Rattus norvegicus: one gene and its partner. The protein of the gene in region 2 interacts with the protein of the main gene of each other region in a biochemical or structural test. Links are inferred from orthologs where the notes say so. Each region holds a gene or a part of one and is shown on either strand. Other genes may lie near its edges.

Region 1 (2,672 bases), on a different chromosome or scaffold from region 2:
GTTTGAAACAATGCTGTACCATGGCAATCATGCAAAGCATGGGACAGATGAAATACCACGGCAGTGAACTGTGAGGTAACTTCCATTTTTTTCCCCCGGAGAGAACAGTTTATGGGGCAGAGGTGGTATGTTCTGCCCTTTGAAGATTACTGGCACACTTTCAGCTTTTCACCTCTCTAATCGACTGGAAGCAGCCAGCCGATCACTAGTCCTCCATCCCCCTCGAGTCCTCCGATTGTCATGCCTAGGCCTTGCCACAAAGACTGCACCTTTATGTGAAAAAAACTTAGAAAAAATGCAGAGGTTAAAGAAAGCAATAAACTTTCTTTAAAAAAAACTACATGGAGATCTTCTGGGAAACCAAGCCATGAATTCGATTTTGTACTAACCTAGCCCTCTGGAGGCCACATCGGTAGCAATCAGAATAGGAGCTTTTCCATGTTTGAATTCTATAAAGACAAACACGAATAATCATTAATGCAAGCAAATCATTTTATCAAGCCACAAACTAATCGCATCTTATTTGAAATACATACCATTTAGAACCCAGTCTCGTTCCTGTTGACTCTTGTCACCATGGATGCCCATGGCAGGCCACCTATATAAAAATTAGATTATCATCAGCACACCCAACTTAAAACTCCAGTCAAGTATTTACTAATACTCAGTCAAGTATTTACTAATACTCAGTCAAGTATTTACTAATACTCAGTCAAGTATTTACTAATAGTCAAGTATTTACTAATACTCAGTCAAGTATTTACTAATACTCAGTCAAGTGTTTACTAATACTCAGTCAAGTGTTTACTAATACTCAGTCAAGTGTTTACTAATACTCAGTCAAGTGTTTACTAATACTCAGTCAAGTATTTACTAATACTCAGTCAAGTATTTACTAATACTCAGTCAAGTATTTACTAATACTCAGTCAAGTGTTTACTAATACTCAGTCAAGTATTTACTAATACTCAGTCAAGTGTTTACTAATACTCAGTCAAGTGTTTACTAATACTCAGTCAAGTATTTACTAATACTCACCCCCACTGCACTTCCATCTTGGCTAAACATCACAACCCCGAGCCTACTACAACTGTCACTAGAAATAATTCACACAATTATGCCTGTATTATAGTACAAGATTCCAAGAACACTGTTTCTCATCAAAATACTTTTGCCCTTTCCTAAAGTCTGCTTTGCTTCAGGAAACCACATACCCATCTCTCCTCATTTTTCTGGTAAGTTCATCACATCTTCTTTTGGTTTCAACAAAAACAATGGTTTTATTCTCCTTCTCACTCATGATCTCTTCCATCAGACGAATAAGTCTAAAGATGAAGAAAAGCACTATTTTTTAAAAGATTAAAAAACAAACCACAAACCCTGTTTTTGTGCTAAATCAATTGACCATGTATCAATGTAAGTCAGAACAACAATCCCACAAAGCTGTCACATGCACAATACCCTGAAGAACAGATTTTCATGAAGATTGATGTACCATTTTGTGCATGCTTGTGCAGTGGCTAGGTTCAAAAACCCATTTCATGCAAGCCAAGCAAGTCCTTTATCTCACCAAGCTATATCCCTAACACTCTGATTTAAAAACACTACTTAATGTTATTTTTCAGACAATTTTCAAAACTGATTATTCTTGTATAAAAGCAAGATTTTCTGTTAACTTAAACTTACTTTTCATCCTTTTCGACATCATGACACACATCCACAATCTGAAGAATGTTATGGTTTGCACTCAGTTCCAGTGCACCAATATTGATATGAATATAGTCTTTCAGGAAATCTTCAGCAAGCTGTCTTACTTCTTTTGGCCAAGTTGCACTCCACATTAGTGTTTGCCTATCAGGCTGAAGATTTAGGGAAGTAAGTCAGACTTCAACACTAAGAGCAAACTTAGAACTGATTTTTACAGTAACATAGAGACCACTTACTCTTATTTGATCCACAATTTTCCTTATTTGGGGTTCAAAGCCCATATCAAGCATCCTATCAGCTTCATCAAGGACAAGGTAAGTTGTTCTTCTCAGATTGGTTTTCCCACACTCTAAAAAGTCAATCAGTCTTCCAGGTGTTGCAATACAGATTTCCACACCTTTAATTAAATGAATAAAAAGGAGATATAACTACAATATGTAAAACTTTCATCTCCACCAGTGTCAAAGAGCACCCTCTATGGTTATATACCTCTCTCCAAATCACGAATCTGCGGTCCTTTGGGAGCACCACCATAGATGCAAGTAGACTTCAAGCGACAAGCTCTACAATATTCAGCAGCGACCTGCTGCACCTGCTGTGCCAGTTCTCGAGTTGGTGCCAGCACCAAGCACTAAGTTTGAAAAAAGTGTTTTTAGTATAAACCAGTTTACTAAGATGCCACTACGTCTTTATGTGTTGGGTACTGTGGCAGTTATCTATTATGGCCCATCCAACTTACTGTCTTTGGATACTAATTTTAAATGGCTAGTTTATACTGACAGCCCCACTTTCCAGCTATATAAAACAAAGGAGTTCTAGCAAATAGGGTGGGAAACTTAAGATACTTACAATAGGCCCATCACCTCTCTCTAAGAATGGCTGGTGGTTTATGTGTACAATGGCAGGCAGCAAATACTATTGAAGAGTAAAAACAATTATTGAAATTGGATTAAAATAGTTAAATA
Region 2 (4,256 bases):
TATTAATTCCAATTGTTAAACGTGGTGACAGCCGTCAATGACAAACTATTAAACAAGGAGAAAGGAGGCAAAATGGAGGCCAGAGATTGAGGTGCCTAGGGCAAATTCTCTAACCTTTTTGATTGCAAAAGTAGGTTACCGTGCTTTCTACTAGGAGGGTAAATTGAGTATTTTGAGAGCTTGGCTTCACGAAGTTCTCCAGAGTGCGTCATTCTCAAAGCCGAGTGATGGGAGTGAACCCTGCCTGGCCCGTGGTTTAGCGTGTCTGGGGCAGCTTAAGAAAATGGCGTTTGCTAGAGCTTCCCAAAAGCCTTCAGCTCAGTGGACTTGGGTTTTCGTGTGCCGTCACCAAGCTGTCGTCCCGCCCGCCGCCACAGGGCTTCCACCCACGGCGAGGGGGAGCCGCCCGCCCATCCCGGCAGGGGTGACATTCGAGAGGTGCTGTGTAGGAGCGGTGAAGGGAAAACTCGAACGGTCCCGGGTGACGCGACACCCTCGCCCTCGCGCGTCTCAGCGCTGACACTTGTGGAACTGCAAGGCTCCGCTAAAGCGTACCACCTAACGAGGAAAAGAAGCCTCTTGAGGAGGGCCAACATGGCGACCAACTCCACTTGGCACAGCCCGGTTCCCTCCTCATGAGGGGCGGCCCTCTAACGACTATTGGCCAAAGCTAGAGGCGGTGCCAGGCTGCTTTCGCTGCCTCATTGGCCTGAGTATCTGAGGGGGAAGCCTGTTCTCCTCTCCCCATTCCAAGTTCCAGCCTTCACCTTCTACTCGGCGTTTAATTGGCTGTTCATTCACGTCAATATGAGCCCTGTTCCGGTTCTTTTCAGTTGTTGTCCAATCAGAACTTTCTTAACTGCCCGCCTGAATTCTGATTGGTTTAGAAAGCTTGATCCTGTCCTATTCCGGCCTATTTCTTACTCTTCTCCTAAACGGACTTTGCCCAGGCATGCCCAAGATTCTGGTTGGTCGTTGTCCTGTCTTTCTTACCTAATCTCCTCCTATCCCCACCGCTCACGGAGCCCGCCTGGTGGTTGACTGGTTTCTCTGCAAGTCCATCTTCTCATCCCGCCCATCACCACTTCCCGAGTCTCTAATTGGTTGTTAAAACTGAGAGGGCGGCCTTTCTGGGCGGAAACCAGGCACGCAACTTGGTCTTACACGCCTCAGAGAGAGAGCGAGTCTTGCCATTGGGTAGACTGCCCGCCTTTCCTCTGCAAGTCCCTCCTTTCACCCTCCTTCATTGGGAGGGGCAGCAGATAAGGGGCGGGGACTAGGCCGGGCTTGTGGCGCGCTGCTCCCTCCTCCTTACCCCCCCCTCCCTGTCCGGTCCGGGTTCGCTTGCCTCGTCAGCGTCCGCGTTTTTCCCGGCCCCCCCCAACCCCCCCGGACAGGACCCCCTTGAGCTCGCCCCTCAGCTGCCACCATGAGCGGTAAGGATGAGTCCACTCCAAGCCTAGGGGTGGGAGGGGAGTGAGGGGGCGCGCGCGAGGGCCGACCGGGCGGTCCCCGCTGTGAGGGGGGGCGGGCGGGAGGCGGCGGCGGCGGCCTTGGTCCCGCCCGGGGCGGAGGGAAGGGAGGGAGAAGGGGCAGTGGCGGGGCCTCGGAGGAGGAGGGGGATGGGCTACCCGCCCCGGGGGAGGGGGCAGCCTGGCCTCGCCCGCCCCCTGCCCGCCCCGGCCACGGGGGACGGGCCTTACCCCCCACTACCCGGCCGGCCGCCTGAGGCTCCTCCTGTCGGGGGCTGGCGCCGCGGGGGCGGCCCGACCAGTGCAGGCCCCGCCTGGGCCAACCGCCTCCCCGGTCCGCCCTCCGGTCCCAGCCTGCTCCAGGCCCTCCCCCGCACCCCCGTAAATTTCCCTTCCCCCATCCGACCCGCCCTTGCCACGCCCCTAACCCCGAAACCGCCCCTTCCTTCTATGGCCCGGCCCCTCAGCCCCAAACCTGGGTTCTAAGCCCTAAACCATTTTAGCCTCTTACCTGCCCTCTTCAGATGTTTCCTCACCTCCACTTACAATTTACCCTTTCTCGGCCCCTTCCTGTTTTTGTTTACACTTAATCTGTCTCCATCTCTTTTAGTCCTAATTTTAGCCCACTTTCCATCCACCTATGTGTTGGGTCTCCTTTTCCTTCCAGGATGCTTTTTTGTTTTTCTTTTTGAGATAGGGTCTATGTGGTACTCGTAGTAACTCGAAGTTACTATGCAGACCTCAAACTTTTAGCTACCTAGTTGCCTGCCTCTTCCTCCTGAGTGCTGGGATTAGAGTGTGCCATCACTAGGCCCCACTTTTTTTTTTTTTTTTTTTTTAATTTCTGAGACACTGCTCTCAAATTCCCTCAAAAGTGCTGTTTGCATTGAGATCAGTTCTTACTCTGTAGGTCTGGCAGACCTAGAACCACCTGGCTCATCCTTCCAAGTCTTGGGATTATAGGTGTGAGTCACCATGCCTGGCTTCCAAAGCAATTTTTGAGTCATTTCTGGGGTTAATTTATGCCTGGGAAAATAGTGACCTGTCTTGGACACCATTAAGCCATGTGCCTGCTCTGCATGCCTATGGCTTTGGCATCTCAGTTTAATGTGTAACTGAGAATTTCTTTGAACTCTTGTCTCCACTTCCAAAATACTGGGATTTTAGGCCTACCACCATAACTAGCTGTATCTGACTAATACCTTTAAAAAAAAACATTTTATTAGTCATTGCTGGTGGTCAAAACGTTAATTTTAAATCTTAATGTTTTTCCCCCTCAACTTATTTGTTTTGTAATTATTTTTAGACCAAGATCACTCAATGGATGAAGTGACAGCTGTGAAGATTGAAAAAGGTGTTGGTGGCAATAACGGGGGTAGCGGGAACGGTGGTGGTGCCGCCTTTTCTCAGACTCGAAGCAGCAGCACAGGCAGTAGCAGCAGCAGTGGTGGCGGAGGAGGGCAGGTGAGTGATCAAAGATGGGGAAGGTATTGAAAGGGTATAAGTATTCTTAGAAACCTCCTTAACCAAAAACTCTGGGAGAAAGTACAGTAGGGAAGTACACACAGAAAGATAGGTGATCTAGAGGGTCCCCAAATAGGAAAGTTGGAACAGTACACAGAAGTTAGCATTTTGTTTCTGGTTTTTGCTCTTTATATGCCTGCATTGTTGCTGTTTGTCTGTTGAATACTGCCCCCTAGGCCAGCTATTGGGTGCCACTAACTCCTTTCCTCTCTTCTGGCCAGGAATCCCAGCCATCTCCTTTGGCTCTGCTGGCAGCAACCTGCAGCAGAATTGAGTCACCCAATGAGAACAGCAACAACTCCCAGGGTCCGAGTCAGTCAGGGGGCACAGGTGAACTTGACCTCACAGCCACACAACTTTCACAGGGTGCCAATGGCTGGCAGATCATCTCTTCCTCCTCTGGGGCTACCCCTACCTCAAAGGAACAGAGTGGCAACAGTACCAATGGCAGCAATGGCAGTGAGTCTTCCAAGAACCGCACAGTCTCTGGTGGGCAGTATGTTGTGGCTGCTACCCCCAACTTACAGAACCAGCAAGTTCTGACAGGTCTACCTGGAGTAATGCCTAATATTCAGTATCAAGTAATCCCACAGTTCCAGACTGTTGATGGGCAACAGCTGCAGTTTGCTGCCACTGGGGCCCAAGTGCAGCAGGATGGTTCTGGTCAAATACAGATCATACCAGGTGCAAATCAACAGATCATCACAAATAGAGGAAGTGGGGGCAACATTATTGCTGCTATGCCAAATCTACTCCAGCAAGCTGTCCCCCTCCAAGGCCTTGCTAATAATGTGCTCTCAGGACAGACTCAGTATGTGACCAATGTACCAGTGGCCCTGAATGGGAACATCACCTTGCTACCTGTCAACAGCGTTTCTGCAGCTACCCTGACTCCCAGCTCTCAGGCAGGCACGATCAGCAGCTCTGGATCCCAGGAGAGTGGCTCACAGCCTGTCACCTCAGGGACTGCCATCAGTTCTGCCAGCTTGGTGTCATCACAAGCCAGTTCCAGCTCCTTTTTCACCAATGCCAACAGCTATTCAACAACTACCACCACCAGCAACATGGGAATTATGAACTTTACCAGCAGCGGATCATCAGGGACTAGTTCTCAAGGCCAGACATCCCAGAGAGTTGGTGGGCTGCAAGGGTCTGATTCTCTAAACATCCAGCAGAACCAGACATCAGGAGGATCACTGCAAGGAAGTCAGCAAAAAGAGGGAGAGCAAAGTCAGCAGACACAGCAACAACAAATTCTTA

Evidence for each region.
Region 1: the proteins of Sp1 (region 2) and Ddx5 form a complex in vitro, tested with the Homo sapiens proteins (2 studies listed by BioGRID). The link is inferred for Rattus norvegicus from reciprocal best matches to the Homo sapiens genes SP1 and DDX5.

Annotation. Positions count from the first base shown.
Region 1 is NC_086028.1:92,226,381-92,229,052, forward strand, and holds part of Ddx5 (probable ATP-dependent RNA helicase DDX5), read right to left. Parts: intron 2,623-2,672; coding exon 2,557-2,622; intron 2,339-2,556; coding exon 2,197-2,338; intron 2,105-2,196; coding exon 1,944-2,104; intron 1,860-1,943; coding exon 1,687-1,859; intron 1,326-1,686; coding exon 1,215-1,325; intron 599-1,214; coding exon 537-598; intron 450-536; coding exon 390-449; intron 1-389. UniProt on the Homo sapiens protein: Involved in the alternative regulation of pre-mRNA splicing; its RNA helicase activity is necessary for increasing tau exon 10 inclusion and occurs in a RBM4-dependent manner. Binds to the tau pre-mRNA in the stem-loop region downstream of exon 10.
Region 2 is NC_086025.1:135,418,659-135,422,914, forward strand, and holds the start of Sp1 (transcription factor Sp1), read left to right. Parts: upstream 1-1,391; 5' UTR 1,392-1,429; coding exon 1,430-1,436; intron 1,437-1,580; exon of another isoform or gene 1,581-2,437; intron 2,438-2,778; coding exon 2,779-2,936; intron 2,937-3,217; coding exon 3,218-4,256. UniProt on the Homo sapiens protein: Transcription factor that can activate or repress transcription in response to physiological and pathological stimuli.